4 linked regions of the Mytilus edulis genome follow. The protein of the gene in region 1 purifies or fractionates together with the protein of each later gene. This does not show direct contact. Links are inferred from orthologs where the notes say so. Each region holds a gene or a part of one and is shown in the gene's direction. Other genes may lie near its edges. The genes, in order: KRR1 small subunit processome component homolog, protein KRI1 homolog, uncharacterized protein and ATP-dependent RNA helicase DDX24-like.

Evidence for each region.
Region 2: the proteins of KRR1 small subunit processome component homolog (region 1) and protein KRI1 homolog purify together in Homo sapiens (affinity purification with mass spectrometry; 3 studies listed by BioGRID and IntAct, with this or other methods). This does not show direct contact. The link is inferred for Mytilus edulis from reciprocal best matches to the Homo sapiens genes KRR1 and KRI1.
Region 3: the proteins of KRR1 small subunit processome component homolog (region 1) and uncharacterized protein purify together in Homo sapiens (affinity purification with mass spectrometry; 3 studies listed by BioGRID and IntAct, with this or other methods). This does not show direct contact. The link is inferred for Mytilus edulis from reciprocal best matches to the Homo sapiens genes KRR1 and DDX18.
Region 4: the proteins of KRR1 small subunit processome component homolog (region 1) and ATP-dependent RNA helicase DDX24-like purify together in Homo sapiens (affinity purification with mass spectrometry; 3 studies listed by BioGRID and IntAct, with this or other methods). This does not show direct contact. The link is inferred for Mytilus edulis from reciprocal best matches to the Homo sapiens genes KRR1 and DDX24.

The regions. Positions count from the first base shown.
Region 1 is NC_092350.1:37,840,031-37,846,984, forward strand, and holds the start of KRR1 small subunit processome component homolog, read left to right. Parts: upstream 1-3,954; 5' UTR 3,955-4,093; coding exon 4,094-4,106; intron 4,107-6,954. UniProt on the Homo sapiens protein: Part of the small subunit (SSU) processome, first precursor of the small eukaryotic ribosomal subunit.
Region 2 is NC_092344.1:5,473,134-5,480,566, reverse strand, and holds the start of protein KRI1 homolog, read left to right. Parts: upstream 1-4,419; 5' UTR 4,420-4,473; coding exon 4,474-4,552; intron 4,553-6,165; coding exon 6,166-6,242; intron 6,243-7,433. Other genes in the region: uncharacterized protein, read right to left, coding at 2,134-2,144.
Region 3 is NC_092353.1:66,593,740-66,600,990, forward strand, and holds the start of uncharacterized protein, read left to right. Parts: upstream 1-4,244; 5' UTR 4,245-4,407; coding exon 4,408-4,429; intron 4,430-6,739; coding exon 6,740-6,835; intron 6,836-7,251. Other genes in the region: uncharacterized protein, read right to left, coding at 3,983-3,998. UniProt on the Homo sapiens protein: ATP-dependent RNA helicase that plays a role in the regulation of R-loop homeostasis in both endogenous R-loop-prone regions and at sites of DNA damage.
Region 4 is NC_092344.1:113,043,297-113,050,414, forward strand, and holds the start of ATP-dependent RNA helicase DDX24-like, read left to right. Parts: upstream 1-4,113; 5' UTR 4,114-4,308; coding exon 4,309-4,476; intron 4,477-7,118. Other genes in the region: uncharacterized protein, read right to left, coding at 460-598. UniProt on the Homo sapiens protein: ATP-dependent RNA helicase that plays a role in various aspects of RNA metabolism including pre-mRNA splicing and is thereby involved in different biological processes such as cell cycle regulation or innate immunity.

The DNA.
Region 1 (6,954 bases):
TCAATTGTTGTTAAAAATTTAATTGTGTTAAATTATTTCAGTAAATTTCAGACAAATTTGATGAATAAGATACTTCTAGCTATTAACAAAGATTGTATATAAGTATTTAGTTTGAGTTTTGGGAATAATAAGGAATATTTCTAGGACTTTGTCTGGGTGTTCTAGAACCAACCTAATGCACATATCTAAATATATTGATCACATGGTTATTTAAACTTTACAGATTGCACAGACTTTTTGCGATCTGGTCAAAAGATTTAGTATATATTTTGTTTTGTTAAAAAAATATTTTTACTGTTTCATTTTATGTATTCTACTCATTTCGCTATCTATGTTATTTGTAAATTTATGTGTATTTGTCTCAGTAAATGGACAGAAAGTCACAGAACAAAATGTCACAGGACATAAAGTCACAAAGATAGAACGAAGAGGTCACATGACAAAAGGTCACAAATAATTTGTTGCCAATTGTTTGAATATGTAAGTGATGTATTCACTTTTTAATTCATATATTCATATTAGTTTAGGAAATGTGTCATTATACTTGAAAAATGATTATTTATTTAATAAAAATCATGCAAAGGATATATTTATTGGCACAATGAAGCCATTAAAGTGTCAAGCCACTTTCACATTTTGTTTTTTTAACAATTATTTAATCATCTTTGATATTTTTTGGATAAATTTTGTTTACAAAGTTGGTTTATATACAACAGTCAAAAAAAAATACCAAAATATTTTTGTAGAAATAAGCGTTTTTTATTCAAAGAAAATAGCCAGAAAAAAATAATTGTGACTTTTTGTCCTGTCACTTATTGTCCGTGACTTTTTGTCTATTACTTTTTGTCCTGTGACTTTCTGTCCTACATTCTTTGTAGCTCCTGTTATGCAGGAAATCCGTGCCAGGAAATCTGCGTCCGAGTGCTTTTTGAATAAACAGTTTAAACAGTTAATAGATATTGCAGTTGAATATCAAATTTGTATAAATGCTCATTAATTTTTGTTATCGCTCATTATTTTTTTTTATCATATTGAAAAATTTTCTTAGCTCTCAGAATAAAGTGAATCTTAATTGCATTATGAAAAGAAACTAGTTAATGAAAAATTTTGTTGCTTTTTAAAACAATTGAAAATCCAGTATATTATCGTCAGTTTGGCTAATATCTGTCAGTTAATAACCAAAATTTGTCTTCAGAAAAAATAAATACACTTCTACCATGTCTATAGATTGTGACATTTTTATGGTCTATTAATAAAATCACAATCTAAGTAAAATATTTTAATTAGATTGATAAAATCATTTTTTTTCTCTCTGTGTATTATATTGTTGAAACTGCTGGACTGGCATGATACATATATATACACATTGATAATGAAAATGTATTAAATTTTAAACATGCAAAGGATATATTTATTGGCAAAATGAACCAATTTAAGTACCAAGTCACTTTGGCATTTTTTTTTCATATAAACAATTATTTGATAATTATTAATGACATTTATTAAATACATTTTAATTACAAAGTTGCTTCATATATTAAACTTCAAGGCAATACAAATTTTTTTTTGAAGTGTTTTCTTATTCAAAGAAAAATAATCTCAAAACTGAATTGTGACTTTTTGTCCGTGAAATTTTGAGCTGTGACTCTCTGTCCTACATTCATATAATCTTGTATACATTTGACAAGAATATTTCACTTAAAACCAGACATTTTAGATAAAGTTAATACATTGTAATAACTGCAGGGACTTGAATGATTTAGACTATTTAAAGATACTTGTCTAGTAGTCTCAGATATATGACAATACAAAATATTATCAAATTTTGCTGTAATAAATATATGTTGAATATATTTATTCAATAGAGAAATAATGAATTGCCTAAATTATATTTAAAATAAGTCCTAAAGATATTATCTTAAAACATTTGTTGAACAATGTTAAATGCAGATCCGTCTCTCTTAGTATAAACAATTTTGAATTTAGAAAATTGATTTTAGAAACACCTTTTCAATAGAAAAAGACAGGTATTGTGAAAGTTTGCATTATATATGACGATGACATTCATTTAATCTTCAGTTGTCAAAAAGTACTTTTAAAAAATAACATAAATTGATAGAAGTTAAAAAAAAAATTTAACATCAAAACAAAGTCACAAGACATTTAAAAAAAAATGTTATAAGGCTATATGTGTTTTATATGTCTCTGGTTCATCTAGTTGTATTATTTCATTTTATTTTTTTATTTTTCTGTTCATAATCACAGTAATTAAATTTGACAAACACATATTTTACCTGAGACACTTTACCTGTAGGTTATGTAATTTTAACACTTCAATGCAGTCATGATTTCCCTTTATCCTTGACTAGTTTTTGATTAATACCTTGTGTATTAATTAGCAACAGGGAGTATAATGATGGACACATAGGGCCATCATGGTGGACATAGTTTTATACCAACCTACATTGTAACCTGACTTCCCAATGAATGTAACAATTGTAACCTGATTCCCCAGGCATGTATGTAAACATTGTAACCTGATTCTCCATGCATGTAACCATTGTAACCCGACTTTCCCATGTATGTAACCATTGTAACCTGATTCTCCATGCATGTAACCATTGCAACCTGATTTTCCCATACATGTAACCATTGTAACCTATTTCTCCATGCATGTAACCATTGTAACCAAATTCTCCATGTATGTAACCATTGTAACCCGATTCCCCATGTATGTAACCATTGTAACCTGATTCTCCATGCATGTAACCAATGTAACCCGACTTTCCCATGTATGTAACCATTGTAACCTGATTCTCCATGCATGTAACCATTGCAACCTGATTTTCCCATACATGTAACCATTGTAACCTATTTCTCCATGTATGTAACCATTGTAACCAAATTCTCCATGTATGTAACCATTGTAACCCGATTCCCCATTTATGTAACCATTGTAACCTGATTCTCCATGCATGTAACCATTGTAACCTGATTTTCCCATACATGTAACCATTGTAACCTATTTCTCCATGCATGTAACCATTGTAACCTATTTCTCCATGCATGTAACCATTGTAACCAAATTCTCCATGTATGTAACCATTGTAACCCGATTCCCCATGTATGTAACCATTGTAACCTGATTCTCCATGCATGTAACCATTGTAACCTGATTTTCCCATACATGTAACCATTGTAACCTATTTCTCCATGCATGTAACCATTGAAACCAAATTCTCCATGTATGTAACCATTGTAACCTGATTCCCTATACATGTAACCATTGTAACCTGATTCTCCATGCATGTAACCATTGTAACCCTAAATCATTGTAACCTAAATAACTAATGTAACCTCACAGCCATTAATAATGGGGTTGCCATGGTAACAAGATGGCTAAAAGGGATTCTTGCATGTGTGTAACCAGTGTAACCAATGTAACCACTAGGTCAGTGGAGGTTACAAATGTACCAGGATTTGAGAATTTCTGAATATGATGATTTATGATAGTTTGTATGAGTGTAACCAATGTAACCAATGTAACCATTATGTCAATGGGGGTTACAAAACAAGGTAACTGAATTATGGTGCACATTTTGTGCCTTATATGTAGCCATGGGATCTTTTATTTCAAATACTGATAAATATCATAGGGCCGAGAACGGGATTTTAAAACTCCTTCCCAGGAGTTTATTCATATATTAGAAGAAGTCGAAGAGTGATTGGAAACAGCTGATACCCATTTTTTTCTAATCATAATACATACTTACCAAACAAATTTTTATAAACATGATAAAGAATGACCTTCATTTCACAAAAAATATTTCATTCAATAATGTAATGCTGTAGCCACGATATGTGTGGAAATAACCAGTATAATCTGGATAATACACAACTGCAAACTGGAAAAAAATGAGTAATCACATGATCAAGCAATACAATTTCTTCATTTAAAAAGTAGCTTTTCTCCGTTAACAAACGCAACAATGATTAAGATCAATCCAGGGGAAATAATCCTTGTACTAAATTGAAAGTAGAAACAACGTGAGGAGAAAAAAGAAAACAATTCCTTTGATATTTTAAACAAACCATGGAAAGACAAGGTTTGCACAAGTCATAACTATTTATCCATCTTTCTGTACCAACTGCGGGTCCCAATATGTTATTTCCCAACACTGCAACAGTTGAAATCTGGACATTTGTTTATAAATAATATATAAAAAAATAATACATGCATGGCCATGGCATGGACTCAAAATTTTGTGCACCAGATTTAGTTATCTTGTTATGTACCCTCGTTTAAAGTTATGATAATGTGGTTACATATAATGTATATGACAAATATATTGATCTTGCAGCATTTGCAGCATTCAAAACTGATGTTCATTTTCCCTGATTTATATTGTTTCTTATTGTTGTCTAGTTGCATAATGTTTATTATTTGAACAGAATATTTTATCATGATTATCTTGTTATGTTTGATGAAAAAAATTGCCAAATATTTGTATAATTCGCCACAACCAATTAATTATTTCCCCCTTGATTTGCATACTTCTTCTTCTTCTTTATGTAAATCCCTCCAGTGTTGGAGCACACACAGCTAGCTGTGTTTCCTTAACGGATTAGTTTTTAAAAAATGTTAACATATCCACAAGTTACATGTAATAGGATACTGGAATTTAATGTATTCATCTTTATTGATATTTGTGAACCAAATGATCTCTTCAGTCTATTTATGCAGTATAACTGATGAGACTACCATAACCATTTAACAAGTATTACTATAGTAGTCTCAGAGTTTTATGTTTTATGTCATTGACCCAACTGTTCAGGGTTAACCCTCTACGGTTGTATCCAGCTTCGTTCGCCATAAAAATTAATTGTTTATTACCTTGAATACTATAATAGATAAAGATAAACTGTAAACAGCAAAATTGTTCAGCAAAAATAGGTCTACAAATAGGTTAACATGACCAAAATGGTCAATTGTCGCTATAAAGAATCATTGCCCTTTAAAGTCAACTTTTCACACCTTTACGTAATTTTATAAATGAGGTAAACAATGAAATATGTCAATATCATTGATAACTAAATCAAATTTTTTACTAAAATCTTTTCCTCTGAAACAAGGACGTATAACTAACATAATACGTCCTCATCTGAAACTCCATGAACTACTGGGCCAAGTTGGGCTAATATGTTCCAAGGCTTATCACCACCTTTTTTGAAACACAAAGTATAGTGCATTGATCATAACATTCTATACATCCTTTTCATGAACATTTTCAAAAATTTATCAATGTAATATATGCTCAGATATTCAAGGCACAAAATGATGTTACACTTGTTAAGAAAATTACATAACTTTTGCAAGGTGCAGGAATGTAATATCTGTTCTAAAAAAATATAAATTAAGTCATTGTTTACCTCATCTTTAAAAATTGGAGTTATCTTCCTTTGTCTAGAATAGCTGTTAAATCAACTACAACCAATGCAATATTTAATTTTACTTCCCACTAATAAATGGAAGCAATCTTTACAGTTCAGTGCTTTCAAGCAATTTGATTGGCTTATATCTCTGAAACTAAAGCATTTCAAGCAAATCTGACAGAATGAAAATGTTCATCTGGTCAAGACCCATTTGCCCTGAAAATGCTGAAATTTTCTGTCGCAAATCTATTGATGAGTTGCTGCCTCAGAAATGGTAATTTTATGGCAATTTTACAGTTTTTGCTTATTATTTTGAATTATAATAGAAAGAGATAAACTGTTTACAGCAAAATTGTTCAACAAAATAAGATCTACATGACCAAAATGATTGATTGATACCCTTTAGGAGTTATTGCCCTTCATAATAAAGGAGTATGTTCGGTAAGGTCTTAAAATGGCCCCCTTTTTTAGCGTAAATTTCAAATTTGGATTTATTGACCAATATCACAACAAATCATACATGAATCGAAGCTAATATAGTACGATGGCCGAAGTGAGCCGACAAAAATACTATTTAAACTTTGTATAGTACTGTATAGACAGTTTGTACATAATACTTTCTTGTTGTTTTACTTCCTGATTAAAAGATAGTACTCTGTACAGAAAGTTTGTACAATGTACTATCCTGTTGTTTTACTTCCTGGTAAAATGATAGTACTCTGTACAGAAAGTTTGTACAATGTACAATCTTGTGTTTTACTTCCGGTAAAAAGATGGTACTCTGTACAGAAAGTTTGAACAATGTACTATCTTGTTTTTTACTTCTGGGTAAAAAGATAGTACTCTGTACAGACAAGTTATGACAGATCTACCATCATCAGGGATCCAACTGTCAATTTGAATAAAGTCTTTAACTTTGATATACTAAGCATATCCCCAATACTTTTATGTTTGCTATACGCAACTATTGGTGCTATTTTGAATACTTGTACACAATCTTCGTCAAACTGTAATAAATGCCAGTGTTTCATTACACGTTTCTTTATTTTATGTATATATGGATTATAATATTTAGTTATAAAAACTTACGGAATATATTGTTTTCTTCTGATTTCTTTTGTTGTAATAAATCAGTACGGTCAATTGATAAAGCATCAGTGATACTATCATCTTTCTCCACGTTATCATAACCCCTATCTAATAATTTCACTTTGAAATTAGTTAAGATTTTTTTATTAATTTGTTATGGTCAATTGTGTTTCTAGTTTGCCGCATTGCTTTACCTTTAATAAATCCTCTGAATACATGCTGTGAGTGACAGTTATTTCTGTCCAGAAACAGATAATAATTTGTGTCTTAAAAATTACTTTGAATTTCAAGGTCAAGAATGTTATATGTTGTAAATCTTTGACCTTTAAATACATCAACATCTAAGAACGACATTTGATCGTTTTTGATTTTAATTAGGGGTTTTAATTATTTGCTAGACGAAAAAAATCTATTATTTCATCTGATGTTCCC
Region 2 (7,433 bases), on another chromosome or scaffold:
GTCTCTTTGACATATTCCCCCTTTCCATTGACCTTTCATATGTTTGACTTTTTTAATCTCTTGTGATCAAATATATGAAAAAAGGCTGAATTAATATTGATATTCACTCATAGGGTCTTTGCATCGGCAATATCCACATTAATTCTAAAACAGTTGTTGGCATATGATACAGGCTATGTTCTTCTCGTATATTTTATGGTGGTATGATACTAAACCACTAATGGGAGGGGATTGTGCTTGATTTTCATATGATGAAGACATGATCTTTAAATAAGTTTAATTGAGGTCTGGAGTTGGCATGTTAGTTACTGCTAGTGGTTCTTTGTTAATTTAATTTATGTTGATCATTTACATTTTACTTAGTTTGTTCTCAGTGTTATCTATTATAATATCGGACTTCTTTTAAACTGGAATCTACTGTGCGTATTGCTATGCGATTGTTTAAAATCTTCTTTGGCTAGAGGTATAGGGGAGGGTTGAGATGTCACAAAACATGTTTAACCCCGTCGTATATATTTTTGCCTGTCCCTTTTCTGACCTTATTATCGTTGTATGTCTTTTTAATTTTTGGTTCATTTATTATTTTCGGAGTTTAGTGTGACGTCCATTTTTGCTGAACTAGTATACATTATTGCTAAGGGACCGGCTCAGTGAGGCCTGTCTCCATGTGAGGGATTTTTTTCACTATGTTGCAGACCTAAGCATTGGTGGCCTTATGCTGTTTTGGACCGTTTGACACATTCCCCGTTTCAATTGTCGATTTTATTTCATTTGTAGTACGTAACACGCGCGAAGTTACACATGGATGGGTGATATTTTTTTTTAAATAAGGTTATACATGTGCTTGGTATACATACAAGTCTCTGATTGTATCATGGAAGTAAAATGAAATATAATATTCCCATGGTTATATAATCGATGTCATAAGCATCTTAAACTATTAAGGTATACATGTATTATCTTAGTATTCATATCTAATGTAAAACCACAGTCGGTAATGCTTCAGATATTTCATTTGTCCAATTATTTTATCTCTTCATCACTGTCTGACCCTAGCCATATGTGATAATAATCGGATTATTTTGACATATGGATCTAATATACAATATGCAAACAGTTTGCATACATGAAACAAAATTATTTATGAACGTTATGTAATGTTTGAAATAGCTTGATATAATAGCTTAAGCTCTATTTTTCGTTCCAAATATCATATAATTATATTGTCTCCTGAAATTTGTGAAAACATGCCGTTTCCTTTGACGTTTCTCGAGATTACCTTTCGTCAATCATTAATACGCTACCTTTTCCAAATATTATGTATATACGAAAATATACACCTTATCATAACAATCCGTTTTATTTCAGTAAATAATGTGTTCGCCGAAGACAAGTGATATGGTTATATGGTTATACCAGATTTCCTATGCAATTGTGGTGCGAACAAAACAAATGTGTTTGTGTAACTGTAAATTAAATGCGATTGCATTGTTTACATAATGTCAATATGCAGCCGTATGAAATGTTATAAACGGATTTCTAAATTGTTAACCTAACACAATTCCAAATGTCGTGATACCATATAAAGACTTCATAAAAAAGTCTTAAAGTAAAAATTGACAACACTTTCTTACCTTCTTGTTTTGTCTTTGTTTCCTATAAGAATGATGATTTATGATTGTTTACATATGATGACTAAGAGACACTAACAGACAAGAAGCCAATTATTACTACGTCTTTCAGGCACGATTCCAACTTGTAATTTATGCATAATTAGTTATGATTTCTTGGCGATGTATGTTACATCAGTTGCTAGTTTTGGTTCATATCTATTGACAGTTTATTGACATACACTTTCTATATGTATGTCTACCAGTGTGTGATTGCCAACAGTACACATGCATGCACACGAGCGTGCAATATGAATAAACGAATACTAGTAAACATATTAGATAAAATTTGGAAAATAAAGCGAATCTGTTTATTGCTCGAGTAAGATCAAAGACCTGAGTTGAATTGAATATATATATAAATCTATGGTTAATAATACTTTGAGTAACTTTTTGTCACAGTTCAGTTGTTTTTGTTTTTGTTTTGAAATTTACACAAAATAGAAAAGAGAAATGATCTTACCTGACTTGCATCGTTACACTATCATCGGCAGCACAACATAAAGGGAGTATAATAATTAGACAGATCTCTGAGAGACAGATATCTAACGTAAGCTGATACACGGGTTATATATAATACAGAGATTAGATGACTGTGCAATCTGGTTTACCTTCACCTTCAGCTGCATGTGTATGCATGTAAATTTTGTAGGCTGCAATTATATCAGTCTGTCACTGTTCGATTCAATGGTTTACATGGTTTGTTTTTACTTATACACCGTAAACTTTCATAATCTCGTTCGAGTAGCATTGGAAAAGGGAGGGACCATTCTTTAAACATGTACTTCTTTTGTAGGAGTCTTTGATACACGCAAATAAGATTTCAAGCCAACGAAACAAATAGTCAAAAGACATGTAGAGATCAATATACGATCTTTAACAAGAGTCCAAAATCCCAAGCCTGTAGCTATACAATACTCTGAATAGAGTAGACGTGATTTTGGAACAGTTGATAAAATTGACTGTGATTTTTTTTTTAACTGCCATCCATGCCAAATTCCCTAAATGACAAAAGACAAAAACTATATATAATTTTTTTTTTAAATCCAGATTTCTTTTCTTACGATTTGAGACCAAAATAAAGCCAATGCTCAGCTGCATGAGCTGTACAGTATATAACTGAGGTAAAGTTGGCCTTTTCTCACCATTTAATATCGAAAAGGAGTTCCATAAAATTGAGAATGGAAATGGGGAATATATCCAGCACCCAGAGGTGGTCATCAGACGGGCTCTAAATAAAATTGTGTATTGTTCATGAAAATGGACGTAACACTAAACTCCACAACATATGAATGAACTAAAATTAAATAAAAAATACAACTTCAAGATTAACAAAGGCCAGAAGCTCCTGTCTTGTGACAGGCGCAAAAATGCGACGAGGTTATACATGTTTTATGAGATCTCAACCATCCCTCTATACCTCTAGGCTATGTAGAATAAAGAAATACAACAAAAACGCACAGTAAAACCTATCAATATTGGTAGCTTATTTTGTTCCTATCTCTTCTGATTTAAACAATCAATTTTAAGATATTCTAGATTTTGAAATTTTCACCTGAATACACCCTTAAGGTAGATGGGGTGTCTAAATTATAATCCATAGATTTTTTTAATAATTTGCCAAAATGTAGCTTATATCATGCTCTTTAAAAAATAATAATAAAAATAATGGGTCACGGGACTTATTTTCACGCTACACGGTGTTCAAAATTGACAGATTTTGTATAGATTATGCATGGAAAACACAATTTTCTGCAATAAAGCGTAAACTACACCATAGAATTTGAGATACCATATGAGAAGATAGCTTTTATAGTATGCTTTCAGTTAAGAAAAAGACAAAATGGGGTCACCGGACCTGTTTTCTTGCTACATTATAAAATAGGAAAATTCCTAACACATTCTATTGTAAAATTACCGTAATCTGAATTATCTGCCCTTGCATTTGAGTTGCCTCCCCTTATGTGGCAAAGTTGGAAAAAAAATTAATCAAACAAAAGTTTTCTGTTTTTTGTAAAATACAACCATAAATATGATAAAACATGTCATTTTATATATTGAGGTCAAAGGTCTTACACATGAATTACCTACTACTCTAAAAATTTGCACATTCTATTAAAGATCTAGACCTTGTTGTCTGGTATTTCCTAATCCAAGATGGAGGAAGACACCCTATCTACCTTAAACCGGCTTTATTACTGTTAATACTTATTCTTAACAGTTACATATTGTTACTTGGATGGAGAGTGGACTTATTGGCACTTCTAGGATAAACCACATCATATTCTTCTAATAAAAAAAAAGAAAATTTCAGAGGACATTTCTGATATGTTTAGCTATGCTAAAAATGGTATTTCCGAAAAACAAAGGATTTGAAATAATACCCCCTTTTTTAAATCTCCAAAAGTAAATGATCGTACTAATTTATTTACCTACTCATCTTACACTTCACGTACTGTAATACTTACTTTAATGCTTACTTACTTGCTAATACTATCTACCAAGAAAATCAATTAATCAAGGATTTGTATAGTTAGAAAGTAATCAAAAAGTCCAAAAATTCAGTCCTAGATTATCAGATGACAAAAAAATTAAAAAAACAGTCCTAGTTTATCAGATTTTCAATTAATCATGAAATATTTGGTCTAGTAATATAATGACTATAAAATTGGCGATGTAATCACATACCGTAATCAAAATCCCCATGGTGCTCCATACGCAAAGAACGTACATACGGATAACATTATTAGAATACACCAATATAACATGTTTCTCTTCCCTATACTTTACCTGACCCACAAGCATGTCCGAGGAGCTAAAAATCAACAAAGCATATGCAGAAAATTACAACGTATGGCGAAAGAAAGAAGAACTCCAGAAACGTAAGCATGATGAATTCAATCTCGTCTATATAATCATATATTTTTTGCATGAACCTATCGTCTAGAATTGTAAAAATATTTTACACCAATCTAAGTGTGACACTAAATCAAGAAGTGCCCTTGTTGCATACGCACTTGTTTTTAACTTTGGGAAGATCCACTATGAGGATAGTTATGCCCTTTACCATCTGGCGTCAAACGATCATTTTTGGCTGCCATTATCATCAATCCTCAAACTTTTATTTAAGGCCTGTTGGCACGAATTGTCCCAATGTTCAGTTTTTCTCAGCGTATTTTCTTCTCTGTGCTTTAAAGATACGTTGATAGTGGGTCTTTCAATGGATAGAAACAAATGCCTGTGTCAAATTAGTTAAAACTTTACTGGGAATTGTCATAATAGCCTTATCTGGATTTGTCAGCCAGGGCCGTAACTACCTATGAGGCAGGGGATGCCTCCCCTGAATTTTCTACACCAAATTTATTTTTTTGAAGTAATAAAATGAAATATTGACAATATGTACACGAAGAACTTGAATTTATATTATAAACAATACAAGTTTACAGTTTTAACACTGTTATCATGATACGTGATATATCTGTCATTTTCCGGATTTTTGATCGAAAGGGAACCGTTTCAGTATATTTTTTTCTTTGTGTGGCCGTCCGTCTGTTATTCAGTATTCGTACGAGAACACATATGAAACTTTGCTTTCGACAATTTTGAATAAACTTAACTATTCACATTTATTTAGGGGCTCCAGTAAGCAGAGGAAATTCCCTTTGTATTGTGAATCGTTTGTGATATCAGAAATTCGTTACCGGCTGAATCATCTGTTGGGTCATTTTTTAACGTCTCCCAGCCGATCTAACGAGAACATTATGGTCAATGCCTTAGTAGTTAAACACTTCAATTTGTTGAAGCAGAGACTTTCTAAAACTAAGTAATATTCTAGTTTAGAAAGTCCCTGGTTGTAGTTATATACATGTCTGTTCAGCTTTCAACAATATTGAAATTCAAGGTCCTTGACAAAAAAAATGTCTTGCTTAATATGATCTTGCTTAATATGTTTTTTTAATTGACCAGTTTGATTTCTAACAAAAATATCTTTAAATACAGATACTAATTGTTTGCATAAAAATTGCTTCCAGGATCCAGCAATACTGATGTTTCTTAAACATGTTAAAGTAAGTAAATCGAAAGAAAACGGGTCATTTTTAGCCATTTTTCTGCGAGAAAAAAATCGGCGGGGGGCTGCGACCCCAACCCCCCTCTCTTGGGGGCATCAATCGGCGGCCCCCAAACTCCTGCCTCCCCTGAAGTCGAACCCTAGTTACGGCCCTGTCAGCGGTCTCAAATTTATTATCTTTAGCATCATTTTTTGAAATTTTTATAATGTGATGTTGATTTTTTCATCATGTAAAAGAAAGTGAACATTTTATCGTCAATCACCAAAAATAACATTAACGTCATATTGCAAGAATATTTGAGGTACTCCAATTACTACCCTCCACTATCAACGTAAATATCCGTTTGGATCTTCCCCTAGAATTTTAGGGATAGAAACAAGTGCCTGTGCCTTGTTGGTACCTTTATAAGAAGTTTATATTTGTAGTGAAAGATAAATACGGAGATGTCAGTGATCTGGATTCAGAATCAAGTTCGTCAGAGTCTGAGGATGAAAATGCTGAAGTATGTATTAACTACCTGGTACACATGAAATACATATTCTTTTGTGTATATATGAGAAAAGCTATATATACTTCTTGTAAATGTATACTATACTGTCTAAACAAATCCATGATATTATGATAATTTTCACATTCTATAATTTACTCCACATTCTAATATTATAACTGCCTTCTCTTCATGCCTGCTACTTTTTTTGCATCAGCAAATATAACTATTCCTATACATTTGTACTAGCATGACCAGTGGTCTTGTTTAAAGACCTAAATATAAGCATGATAAGTGCAACTTAATACCTAGTTTAAAAAAAACTTGTTTTGTTAGAGCATTGCACTACATATATATAAATGGCCCTTTGTATAATCAATTTCCCATCGAAAGTTAATAACATTAATGTCAGACACCTGATGATTGTTTAACGATTAATAAATTATGTCACTACATGTATAATCAATTTACTAATAGATAGGACTTATAAGGTGATAATTACTCATTAAAATGTAGGACAATGTAAAATTAACCTTATTGTTCATATCATGATTAAATTTAAATTTGATGCTGAACTTGAGAGCAACAGGGTGAGAGTTTCATAGACAAAAACCCTGATTCAGCCTGTTCTGATGAGTTAATCAACTGATTTTTAGTTTTTAGTTTATTCATATGTTGTACTGTTACATTGCTGTCCCAAGTTAGAGGAGGGTTGGGCTTACATGTTTTACCCCGCAACGTTCTATACAGGCCTGTCCAAAGTGAGGAGCCTGTAATTCAGACTACGTCAGAGGTTGTTGTTTTGTTGCTATATATCATATTTGGTAAATTTGTTCATTACTTTGTTCATAATCACCAGGGCCGTAACTACCTATGAGGCAGGGGAGGCAGTTGCCTCCCCTGAATTTTCTACACCAATTTTTTTTTAAGTATATGTACATGAAGAAATTGAATTTATATTATAAACAACACAAGTTTACACTACAGTTTTAACAGTGTTATCTTGATACGTGGTATGTCTGTCATTTTTCTGATTTTTGCTCGAAAGTGAACCGTTTTTTTTTCGTGTGGCCGTCCGTCTGTTATTCAGTATTGAGGGGGGTCAGTATCCGTACGAGAACACATATAAAACTTTGCTTTCGATAATTTTGAATAAAAACTTAACTCTTCACATTTCTTTGGGGGCTCAATTAAGCAGAGGAAGTT
Region 3 (7,251 bases), on another chromosome or scaffold:
CCAGTACACACTTAATTGTGAACTTTTTCGCATTGTGACTTGGATGAAGCATTGCCTCATTGGAACTCATACTACATCTTTTTTTATGTATGTCTAACAACACTATTTGACCAGATACAGCCTTTTTTACTAATGTGTAAATAGCTTTGTTTTTACCATCACATTTTTTATCTGTACAGCAATGTTTGCTTTGTTTTTGTGAATATTTTAGTTTGACCAAAAGTGGCAGAATAATCAGAAATGATGGCGGCCATCAAACATCCAAATAGCAGAGGGATATTTCAACAAGATTGTCTTATTTCCTGTTAAAATTTATTTGACAAAAAGTAAAACTGAGAATTTCTTTAAGTAACTGGTACTGGACCAGTAAGACTTTTTTGAAAGCTGCAAGATTATGCCAAATTTATCATTTATGGATAGGATACATTGAGTACAAGTCAAATTATCATGGTGGTCAATTTGGCATTGGTCAAAATAAGCACCTATTTAAAGTCATTTCTGCATATTTAGTTCATTTGGCACCATATTTTTTTTTAATCTTTTTCTTTCCTTTTCATTTGAGGTATGAGGAGAATAGTTTTTTGGATCTTTTTTCAATATTTTTAAGGACACTATGTACATGTACATTTGCAGAGGTTAGTTGTAAATATACATTTACTATATCATAAAAAGAAAAGACACAGACATGTAAAATGTACCTCTGTAATTAAGCAGTTATAAGAATACACAATAAAACATAATCAGTTGTTTGCTAATGCTTAATCCACATATGTCATGTTACAGACAAATTAAATCATTGTAATCTAAATTAGTTTTTTTCCTGCATTTCCCATATACTTATTTTTATATATATTGAATAATGCTGACACCAATTTTGTATGCTACAAGCTATAAAAAATAAGATGAGTGAATGAGTTATATAAACTTGTTCAGTTTTATCTGTTGTTTTAACTTCATTTTTTGGACACAGAAAACATGGTCATTGGTCTTGTTGTATATTGTTTGTTCCCCCATATAAAGTAGAATTTTAAATAGCGTAATGGGGAAATTAACAGCATTATTCACAAATCATCGTCTCATTATGATCATGGTTTACCATTAACAACAATAGACATTTTTTCTTCAGCTTTTCCTAGTTGTATTTGGCATTTTTGCGGGATGAATTTTCAGCCTCATAATTACCCCTTTCATCTAACTTTTTAGTTTTGCAACAACAAATTTCCTGGGATGTCTTTACTAAAATATTTTGTAGCATCAATAGGCTATTTGCCCATTCCTGTAATTGACCCTGTAATAGAAGATCCCTCTTTCAGTTGTCTCCCTTATGAGGGACATTAGTTTTCATTTATAATGGAGAGCTAGCAGAACGTGCAAATTTACCTGTGCGTAATGTAAGTAATAGTAAAGGCTTTCAAATCTTTTAATTACATTAATTTGTTATTAATCTAAATACTTTTGACATCAGAAATTATTTTTTATGAAAAAATAGTTAAACGGCTGATACATCACTTTCAATTCATCATAATTTGCATTGGCAATTCAAGAGCCTATTTTGTCTGGTATGATGAAACCAGTCTACGATTGACAAAGGGAAGTAATTTGTTTAAAAAGTGTGTAATAACAGAATCAAATCGGTAATTGGCAAATGGACTATTAATACACCCACGCACCCACACTGGCCACAGCAATTTTCATAAGAAATTTAAAAAAAAATAGCATTTGTATATACAATGTAATAATGCTATCATGTGGTCGTCGTTCGATGACACATTTGGTTTCAGAACAATAACTTTAGTTTAAGTAAATGTATCTCTCTGAAAATAGTTCCATATGATATCAGTTTATCACAGAGGGTGGTAATGGGGGTACCTTCATGACCAATAACGGTAAAAATTATTGCCAAATGCATTATTGGTAATTTTTGGTGCTAGTCCGAGATTACTCTGACATCTAACGGCTGTTTTGCCAGACAAGCTGGGGCTCTCAGACATTTAGATTACTTGCATAGTAAATGAACGAGGTGTTAGATTATGGTCATTTGCATAAATCATCACTTTTTTTCTCATGGTCACGTGATAATCTTTGAAAGTCAAAATGCAGAAATCGATGGGTCACTGCGAAAACTGTTTAAATATGGAAAAATAAAGGGTGGCATGTAGGTGAAGCTTACGTAAATGAAGAGATAAATGAAAAATGAACAAATTGATACCCGATTAAAATACATGTAATTCCAAGGCCCTTTTTTGGCAACAGAAGCGACGAAGCAGCGCATTTATTTTGGACGGGCAAATATCCACTTTTTGACATGGGACGAGCTCTAGATGATGTCCCATGGCCCCAGCTTGTCTGGCAAAACAGCCATTACTTCAGAGTAATCTCGGACTATTGTGGTGCATGACGATAAAATATGCACTTTCTTTTAGACTATAAAAAAATAGAATGATTTTGATGAATCATGTTAATTTTTTTCCAAAAATAACAGTAAGTTGAGTAACAATAATTTTGTGAGACCTCTGAAGAATCACGATAAGGATATTTTGACAAATCACGATAAGGATATTTTGACGAATCACGGTAAATTTAAAATCAATTTGACGCTAAACGGTAGCCAAAAATGGCCGTTTAAGCATGCCGGTAAAGGGCATTACTACCCTCACAGTCACCGGGTATCCAGACTGTTCGCCCTAATTACATATTCGCCTTAGGTCCGTTCGCTCTGAGTTCGTTCGCCCATAGAGTCCATTTGCCCTACTATATATAAAAATAATAATATTCAAGGCATTCAATGAAGTTGAATAAACTTATTCAGATATTTCTATGGTATATATATCATGTATATTCTTGAAATTTATGGAAACATTGAAATATTTATGGCTTGTTTAGGATCATTAATTGTTCAATGAAAAAATAATTCGGATCACTGGTTATTGTGATACTTGTCTTTTGATGTGCATTTGTATTAATAATAAAAACAAACGTTTTGTTTTAATAAAATATTCAGCTTGAAATTAATAAAAACAATGATGTACGAACTGTAAATTATGAAACGGATTTACAAGTTCATTTATTTATACTCTAAGACTAGTCATACTGCATACATTCGTAATTGACTGAATACAATTATTTTGTTAACAAATATCAATAAAGATAAATACATTGTGTTCCAGTATTCTACTCTGCAAATCAAAGGGAAAATGATAAATTGATTGCAGCAATATAAATATTCTGTCAATTTTTCAACAAACTTTAACATATTTTGTCATGTTCGTACAAAAACTTAAAATAATGCGACTAGACATGCTAGACAACAATTAGAAAAAAATAAAGATCAGGGCGAATGGACCCTGGGCGAACAGGTACTAGGGCGAACATGAATCAGGGCGAACGGACCCGGATTCCAGTCCACAGAATAAGCTTTTGGATCGATCTGGCCCCACGTCGATCCGTACCACGTCGATCCGGCCACAATAAAAAGTATTTTTATAAGGATTAAAAATTAAGATATATATTAATTGTAATTCATAAATGTGTATACATGATTTTTATTATAATGTAAAAGGTGTACAGTAAAAAAAAAGAAAGGCCTTTGAAAATATTTTATAATACACTGGCCTATATATAGGTTGATTATGTTTTTATTACAAGTTTTTAGGATTATTGGGTATAATTATATTAAAACGTATATAGAAGAATTCAGACTTCAACATTAATCAGCAGTAATTAGCATTTTCTTTCAATTGACTGTGATCCTAACAAGTCTTTCATCTTGTGTCTTGGTGCCGGAACGACCGGATACCACAGTCAGACGGAAGGCTGAGATGATCGAGTATGGGAGTTAACGTTTTTGTCCCAAACGTTCAAGAATTAGGTCAAACAAGATATATCAGTAGAGAAAACTGCTATTTATTTGTTTGTTTAATCTCTCGATGTCTGGGTCAGTTAACAAACGATTTAAACATGTATGGCGTCATTAGATACGCACCTGATTCGTCGGCCATATTTTGGGGTTGTCGTTCGTAAATAACAGGTGATAAATTATGTTACAAATTTCCGATGAAAGGCTTCGAATTCAAAGTATTCACTTCAAAAAATAAATCATCAGATTTGTTTGTTTGTTACTTTATTGGAATTGGTTAATTATATTGTTATAAAAAGAGTATGAAATTTATATTGCTGCAACATTTTTTAATCTCAACTCATTCAATCCATATTTTAAATGGTCGAAAAAGAAATACTTAATTTGATTTTTTAAAAGATCACGGGAGTGTTTTGATAAACTAAAATATGCGCCTTATATTGAAGTTCAAGGTTAACATTGACCAAAGAGAAACTTAGCACGTGTGGAAATTGTCTTTGGCAAATTTACAGAATTGGTCGATTATTTGACCACTAAGAAAAATTACAAATATGGAAGATAATTCAGAAAAAGGTAACCGACCAAATTGCGCTACAAACGATGTCCTTTTTTTGTAGAAAATAGTCCCTAAGAAGCTGTATAGTTGATAAATAAAATCAAATCAAATTTGTTAAAAGTTGGTAAAAAATTCAAGAAATAATTCCTGGCTGTCGTAGATTTGTTCTCATTTAACCGTGTGTTGGGTATTTATATTCGATTATATTATCCGGAACCACAGCGAATGGTTAAATGGGAATTTTAATGCTCAACCCATTTACATTGTTAAATGAAAACACATCTACAGCTGTCATGAATTATTTTCAATGCAGGACGCGATGGCCATACTGTCATAATGGCCATAGGATGTACATGATGTAGTGGCCATAGGACAAGATCATCCATACTTTCAGTTTGTAAAGACACATCGTCCATGGTTGTTTATAAGATATTTTGATATATACATGTAGATGGTTATAACTTAATATGAGGCAGGCATAACCTGTAAATGGGGACGAAGTCTGTATGAATTGTTTTTTTTTGTAACTTAAATATTTGTTAAAAAAAAGAAACGGAAATACCGGAACGTTTCCGATTTTGGTTCTGTTGTTAGTGATTTTAGTTGTGACGTTATTTAAATTATGACGTCATATGCAATGTAAACAAAGAAACGCTATCATCAGGTAACGTTTTTTCATATCAAGGAATTATTTAAAATGAAATTGGTATTGCGCGTTCCTTCCTATTTTATACTAGACTGATAAATATTTATTTTACTCAAAGTTTCATACAAACGAGACCGGAAAAAGGAAGTACATTGTACATTTCTGCGCAGGTCCAGGATTTCAAAACACGACAAAAAAAATTTGAACGATTTTGAGTTCATTAGTATACAATGAAAAATTCAGGAAATTTTCCCAAATTTATCGAATTTTCTACTGTTATTGGGGACTTCGTCCCCATATAAATGTATAATTTGTGCTGTTTTTAGATATAAGATGTGGTATGATTGCCAATGAGACAACTCTTGATCCAAGTCATAATTTGTAATGACTAGTGTAAAACCAACACTCAACAGTATATTCTCTACGAAAACCACTGAACATCAGGTTCCTGACTTTGGACAGGTGTTAACAAATGCAGCAAGTTTAAATGTTTTGATATAAAAAGATGTGGCATGATTGCCAATGAGAGCTCTCCATTCAAGTCATGATCATAATTTGTAAAAGTATTTGTCATGTTTTTATTTACCCATAAACATGATAAATATATAAATGTGTTTTATCTAATAAAAAAGTATTTTATTTGTCTAAATGAATGTTTAATGCGTAAAACAAACTACATGGATAAAAAAGAAGACAAATGAGAATGAAAATCTAAAATGGAAAATTAATTCAATAAGTTTAGTTTGAAATATAAAACATAGAAATCTGATATTGATTAATTTTAAACAAAGGAGTAGGTCCGGTAAGGGCCGATTTCGGCCTCAATTTTCAAGTTCATCTAACGAAAGATTTTAGACACTTTCTAAACACTTAAGTGTCTATTTCAATTGATTGAATTAGTTAATGGGGAAGATTTTTACTTAATAATTAAGTCATTTAAAACGCCCCGATTCAAGCTTAAAGATGAAAAATCTATCAAATATGCCAAAAATCGTCACTTTTCAGATGTTTTTTGTCAAAAATGAAAGTGGCCGCATCCGTGTTCATCCTCAACCTTTATATATATTATGTATTATCATCAAATACAACTTACTTTTCAATATTATGAATGAACACGAATGCGGCCACTTTCATTTCAGACGGAAACCGTCTAAAATATAACTAAAATGCTACAATTGTGAAGATTTCAGTAATTTAGCATGACTTAATGATGCTAGTACCCGATATATGTGCATTGTTTTGTCAAAAACAGCCCATATTTATGTAGCAGAAGCATTCTACTTTGCAATAAATATCTAAACGATTACATTTTCACAATTTTCTAAAACGGCTATATTTTGAGGCCAAAAAGGGGTCTTACTGAACCTACTCCTTTAAGATTGTTTATTGCTCATTATTACTTCTTCTGTGATTTTTTTTTTACTTAATTTGAATAATGTTTGTGTTAAATCTAAATAATTATATTCAACAATGGGTCTTTACAAATACTAATGATGTGTTCTTCTTATATTTATTCGTCTAAAGTTGTTCTAGCATTTTGCTTTAATATTGTTATAACTTCTGTTACAAGGTTTTAGTTTTTTCCTGAAGTATCGGTAACATGGTAAGATCATGACTCAAACAGTAAAATATTACAATGTATAATACAGGTGTTGCATTTATAATTGTTTTTCTTTTGTAGGTTTAAAAAAATTAAAGAAACTAAAAAAATCAGGGAAGAAACAAAAGTTAATGAAGGTGCAACAAAATAGATTAGGTCAAGCAGCAGAAAAATCAGGTTCACTATTATTGCATTGTCTCTCTGACTTTTATTATTTAATTCAGACTAATATTTTAACCACAAAATGTATGAAATAATTTTGATTTAAAAAGATTTTAAATTAAGCAGCATTATCATTTGACCTTAAAAGTTTAAAAGGAATGTTGTGTCGTTTGCAGTACATGTATGTAGTCTTTGAATCTAGAAGGAATGTCCTGGTATTTATGATATGAGGCAGGCATTACCTGTGAAAGGGGACATAATCTGTAGGATTTTTTTTTTTTAAATTCAAACATGTTCTGTTGTTGGGGATTTTAGTTGTGGCGTTATTTGAGTTATGACATCATATTCAATGAAAACTAAGAAAGCTAGGCTGTCATCAGGTTATGGTTTTTTTCATATCAAACAGTTATTAAAAATGAATTGGTATTGAG
Region 4 (7,118 bases), on another chromosome or scaffold:
CCTTTCATATCATTTATTGCAAAAACAATTATAAACTATAATCTATACTAACTTATAGTGAAATAAGAAGAAAAATTAACAATTTCATCTATTTCACTAAATAGCAATGCAAGACTCAGGGAACATGTTGAATATAATGATTTTTTGTATTATAAAGTTATCAAATTCTCAACTTTTTCTCCACATCCGAGACTATTGTACCTATTGGTGGTCTTAGGCTGCTGATAACTCTTTGGTCAGGTTGTTTTCTCTTTGACACATTCCCCATTTTTGGTCAGGTTGTTTTCTCATGGACACATTCCCCATTTCCATTCTCAATTTTATGATTTGTATTCTATTTTGTCTTCAGTTGTAGATTAATTGATTTGAAGTAAGCATGTAAAACTAACTTTTCATCTTTTGTCGACTCTTACTGAGATCTTTCTTTATAAGTGTGTTCAAATTGATGATTTTACAAACCTGACATGATAGCTGATGTCACATTTTCTGTTGTCATTTCAAATTTTCTCTTCTTTGTTTGTATTTCCATATTAGCACAAAAATCCATGTCAATTGTGTTGTTATTATCAAAATGATAATCAGTGTCACTTGACTGCATCTCTTCTATCTGAAGATAAAAAATATAACTACAGTCGCATTCATGATTGATATAGAGTTTTAATTCCAATTCCTTCCTTTTTATCTTAACTTTTTGCTATTTGAAAAATTGACTAGGACTCAGTACTAATTTGGAACAAAAAGTCTAACAACTTAATACAGAGTTCACTTTCCATGCCCCATTATCATAAAGAATTCTGAATCTTGCTTGTTGAAAATTTAGTGTTATCCTTGAAAGTATCTTTCTTTATATCATTTTGACACTACTTTTATGCTGATTCTCATTAATTAGTGTTAACTATACCAAGAAAGATAACACCAGAATGAAATGTGATGAACTAACAAAATTATTATTCAATTTTTTTTTATTGTATTATTTCATGAAGGTATGTCATAATCAGATGATATCGGACATTTTACGAGTGTTAAAAAGTTTTCATGCAAAATAAAGAACATTTTAAAAATGTAACTAAATGACTGTTAAAGAAAGAAGTTAATAAATTATTATGAAGGAAGGAAAATTTTAACAACTGCAGTATATTATCTAGATAAAAGAACTTAGATTACAGGTGTTATAATAAACAACGGCATGCAGGATGTTCCAATTTGCAGGTATAATATATCATGTATCAATGATAAGCTAATTTGTCTCTGGTCTTACATACTTTTAAGATGTTAAAAATTAATAATGTCGAGCTCACCTGTTAATTAATGCTAAATTATGCAGAGATGCAATAAATTTTCTAATTAGAAACAGTTCAAACTTTCCCACATTCGCATTTTATTTATTTTAACACCAAAGGAATACTTTTGCGGCCTATAGACTACTGCTCTGGGAGAAAAAGGAAGGAACAGTTTTGCTGTTTCGTATGGTAATTTGCGGCAACGCTTTATAATGGCAAACTGCATTCTAAACAACGATTTAGTATCTAAAGCAGCATTTGACAAAAAAACTTGAAATGCATAACATCGTACATGGTATATTAAGGCACAATAAATCCCAATCGTGTGTCTTTTATATATATCTTGTCTGTTATTTCAAACAAAATGGCGTCAATGTGAAATATAAACATGGGATTTTGAAAAATCATAGCTAATTCGTTTTTATCACCATTTTCATAAAATGAACACTATGCGATAGAAAAAAGACTAAGCTTTTAAATTATATGTCAATGTCACATCTATTTCAAGTAGTTATTTAACTTATACCAAAATACAAAGTGTCGATGTATTTGTTGACGCACAACTTCAAATTTTCAACATGTTTCGAAATAAAATCATATATATTGTACCAATTACATTTAGCATTCGTAATTTAGATCAAACTGTAGAAAAATATTCCTTCTTTAAAATGATATCTCATTTTCTCACTTTTTTCTTTCTACTTTCCAATATAATAAAGAAATCGTAGTGCACTCCCAGATTGATAGACATATTTTGACAGAATATTGAAACTCAAAACTGAAATTTCGAAAAATCGTAGAAAATTCTTAAAAGTTACAAGAAACTTCAAAAAGAGCCTAAGCGATAGAATAAGGTTTCAGCTTCATAATGATATCAACTGTTTTGTTTTGCACTTCGCAGTTTTCAAGTTTTTAGAAAAAAATCAAAACACAGTATTTTTTGTTTAGTAATCCGGATGAAACTCCCTCAATTTTCAAGACCGAGGTCTATTCTAATGAGAATTTACTCAATACAATATTACAAACGTATGTTTGATGAGGCATTAAAATGATACCCAAGGCCTTACTTTTTGCTAGGAATAAAAGTTTATTCTTGATTTCGGGTTTCTCTCTCATTTATATCGTCTCAAGCAAGATGACCCCGTGAATTAAAAGACCGATTTATATGACAGGAAATGGAACTCCGTCATGATTTTTTATATTATTCATCATACTTCCGCCTGAGCCAGACATGGTTTATAACTCTGCGGGTGCGCTGTTGGTATCCCGATTGATCTCGAGCCGCGTTTCCATTCCTTTTAAATATACAATTCCTTGCTGAAACTAATGAAGAGAAGAAACTATTGAAAAAGTAAGTCGTTCTGGTTGAAAAGTACTCCAATTTTATGATGACTGACTGTTCAAAAAGGGTCATGGCACAATTAATAAGCAAATATTTTTCTATATTTTATGAACATTGATAAAATCAACAACTCCTGTGGTCAATAATTTCAGGTAACTTGAAACTTTGATTTGGGTATTGACCAAATCCTTGTTTTCTTTTCATGAATGAGTAACACTGGTTGACTCAGGGTCAGCCAGCATAGATGATGTCGTTTAGCAATTGATAACTTTCCAATTTCAGTTTTAAGGATGAACAAGGCTGTTCCTGTTGATTTGGGTTCTGGTTCATTTGGGGAAAAACTTAGTCGTCGGACATCACAACTAAAAGATTTTTTTTTTGTAACATCAATGCATGTTTTTTGTGAAAAGTCCACTAATTTAATTAAAAGGTTGTGTATAGACTCTCACTTTGACGAATTGATAAAAGCAATATGACAGGAAAAGGTTGAAATGTGAGAGTCGTCTATAACTGTTACATTCAACAAAATTAAGTTTCTCATTTGAAGAACTATTTAAACATTTAAACTTAATTCAATTAATGAAGCTTGGCACAGGCACTTGTTTCTATATATTTACGTTGATAGTGGGTCTTCCCATGGATAGAAACAAGTGCCTGTGAAGCTAGGCCTGAGTTAATCAAAATAATTATGACATATTGTAAGGCGTCAAAGCAAAAAAGCATAGTCGCCTTAATTTGTGTTTTCTTTATTGAGTTAAGCCTTCCAATTGATATTTTATAGTGTTTTTTTATGTTGTGATGTTATACTATTGTTTTAGAAAAGGGAGGAGGTTTGGTACCATTAAAATGTTTGCACCTGTTTAAGTCAGGAATCTGATGTACAGTAGTTGTCGTATGTTAATGTATAGTTCATACGTGTTTCTCGTTTTTCAATTTTATATACATTAGACCATTGGTTTTTTTTGTCGAAAGGTTTTACACTGGTAATTTTTTGGGCCCTTTATCAGTCTTATAGCTTGCTGTTTGGTGTGAGCTAAGGCTCCATGTTGAAGGCCGTATCTTGACCTATAATGGTTTACTTTTATAATTGTCATTTGGATGGAGAGTTGTCTCATTGGCACTCATACCACATCTCCCTATATCTATTTCAAGACCTCAAAATAATTTAATATTTGGACTGGATAAAGTCAAAGACAACTTTGGGAAGTTTCATTGTCAAATTGTCATCACCTTCTCTGCTATTTTCTATGTGTATTGGGATGCTTAGGTGTAAAATATCTTCTTTTTCCTACACCAGTGTTACATTTTATTGGAATGTCACTGATTTTGTTTCCTATGGTGTAAAACGAAAGAAGACAAAAAACGTCAACAATAAATAATCTGGAACCTACAACTGTCAACTAAAGCTTTATAAGAATGTTTGTGTTATTGTAACCAGTTGTAATATTTTTAACCTGGGTTCCTGTTTAAATTCAATCTCTACTATACGTCCAGACCTTGAATAATGGGAACCCAGACTATACTTTTAATCTCAAAACAATACAAAATAGGAATGAATAAGCTGTATGGAATAGATAGATAAATAAAAAAAGATGATAAAAATAATTCTATTTTAAAACAGATAGTTTTCATATTTTATTTGTCTTGATGACTTTATGAGATTTGTTTACATTTAGAGAGTAAAAAATGGCGACTTCCATGCACGTGAAAACCAAAGGAAAGTGGAAACCAGTGAAAATTGACTATAATCTTTTATCTCAAAATGATTTCGATTCTTTAATTTCAATAGAAGAACTTACGGATTACGAACTTATCAAAGATTATACCTCTGGAAACCCTGGAAAATCAAAAAAGGTAATAAAGTGTGGTCCATAAATCAATGGCATGGGCAATTTTAGGCACCCAGTTCTCACGGCAGTAGTCAAATCGGCACCTGGTTAAGGATGTTCGCTCCTCTACATTTTGAATTTTTGCTAGATTTTCGAAATCCTCTGGTTTTATCCATGTATCAACATTAAAAAAAATTGCCCAATAACCCCTACTTTTCTTTTCATATTTTTATTACATATTATTTAAAAAGCCATATTTCAAAATCTTATGAAATCCTTGTTATTTTTCCATAGTTTTTAAAACAAAAAAGGTGACAATGTTAAGTGAAAGAAAAATCTAGAGAGAATTATTTCCCGCCAAATTTTCAATGGCTTATATCTCGAAAACAAACACACGGACCCTCCATTTTTTTCTGCTTTTTTAGTTTCTTTATATATATACTTTCAATGTATAACAGTTTTTTAAAAAGCTTGTTATTTTTCAACAGAGTAGCGAACATCCTTAAATCGGCACCCAGTAGTCAAATCGACACTTGGTTAAATCGGCACCACTACTGGATATCACACAGGTTCACGTAAAATTTTGACGTCATAAAACAAAATATCTGACGCCACAATGGAAAAGTGATTGTTGTATGCGTCAAAAGTTCAAGCGGCATGGTCAGCCGGGATTAGCGATAAGGTATATTTGTTGCTGACGAGATTTTCACTTTAATATGTAACTTTTGCGTTTGACTGATAAGCGATCTATAAACAGATAAATATGTGGACATTATCGAGTGCAAATTAACATACCTTTTTGCTTATAACTGTGTTAACACATGCGAAAGAAGATCTCATGAATGTTTTGCGGCAATCTCCCATGCAGATTTATCGGTCCTTACTCACTCTCTCAGAGCAAGGAGCGATAACTCTGCATGGGAGATTGGTTTAGCAGGAAAATTGAATGCCTACTCAAATCCAATCTATTAATAAAATCCATTTTTCACAGAAGAGCGTCTGTCATGCACTTGCACTGCACTATTATTAATATATTAGAAGGAAGCAGGACAAATCGCCCCACTGGCAAAACCGCCCCACACCAAATCGCCCCACTTTTTCACCAACCTGCCCCACTATTAAAAAAAATAAAAAAATCGCCCCAACCTGGTTAACCAACTCGCCCCACTTTTTAAAAAAATGATTAATCGCCTCACTTTTGAAAAGGGTTAAATCCAGTTAATTTTTCCCCTGTCAACTCGCCCCACTTATTGAAAAAAGGAAAAATCTACTTCTATTATATGTAATTTTCAGGTCTACCAACTAGCCGCACTTAAATGAAAACTTATTTTGATTTTTGTGATCTACACAGAATACAAAAAAAAAAAAATTGAAATCAGTTTATTAAACTTTTTTAACATTCTTAAAATATAATTGCAAAGACATTTTTGTATCATTATTGGAGAATAACTTTATACTTGTAAGCTTAGTTATTTGTATAACAATTGAAAAGAAACCTGTTAATTGTATCATAATCACACAATTAATTGATGCGTGATTAACATTTATATATAACTTTATTGCAAAAACAGAGTTTTTAACAGCAATTTGATGTTATAGCACTTCACTTAGGTTTTCAAAGGTATTGACGTGGGCAGGGACAAAGATATACAACGGGATTGCATCTTTTTTATAAGTGGTTTATCTATTTGTCATGAGTGGGGCCAGTTGACAGCTGACCGTATTTCAGCGGGATTTTAACCCTTTTCATAAGGGGGGCATGTTATCATACCTATTTGCAATGGGAGTTTACCCTTTTCATAATGGGGCGAGTTGGTAAACAAGAGTGGGGCGTTTTTTTTAGAAAGTGGGGCGAGTTTGTGAAAGAGTGGGGCGATTTGCCAGTGGGGCGATTTGTCATGGATTCTATTAGAATAGAATGATATTCAAATGGGTGAGAATTATATATAGAAAAGTAAGTAAGTAAGTAAATTTTATTTATAGTCCGGCATGATATGTACAATTTAACAAGGTAAACATGAGCTCTGTAGAGCTCTTAACCGACTTGATACTTAAAACAAATAACAAATTATCAGCACAGACTACACATACAAATAAAACACATGCATAATATAATAGCAAAGCAAACATGCATAAATCAAAGCAAGCAAGCTAAAAGAAAGGAAAAGCAAATTTTGCTTTAACTGGCACAATGACATACATTGTAAGCTAAGCAAATAAATAAAATAAAAGCAAACAATAAACAGAACACAGGGCCAGAAGATCCAGCTCTGAGAACAGCAAAGTTAATATCTACATGAGCTACAGAAGCAGTTTTCTGAAGAGCACCATGAAGAAATAAAATGTTTGAACTTTACCAAAGTTGAGGGGCTCCATGCATGGTTAGGCAGGGAGTTCCACAACTTTGCTGCCGACAAAGCTAAAACTCCTTTTGCCATACCTTGTAGTTCTTGGTTGTGGTAAATCAACTGTGAGTTTATATCTAAAATTATATGAGTTATCTTTAAAATTTAATATATTGTGTAAAAACTCAGGACTGGATTTTGTTAAAATTTTGTAAGTTTCTAATGCCATGCTTCTCATGCGACTGATTTTAAGAATTGGTAATTTAGATTGTTCAAGTAGTTGTTCATATGATTTATTGTAGTCATTGTAGATGAATCTGAG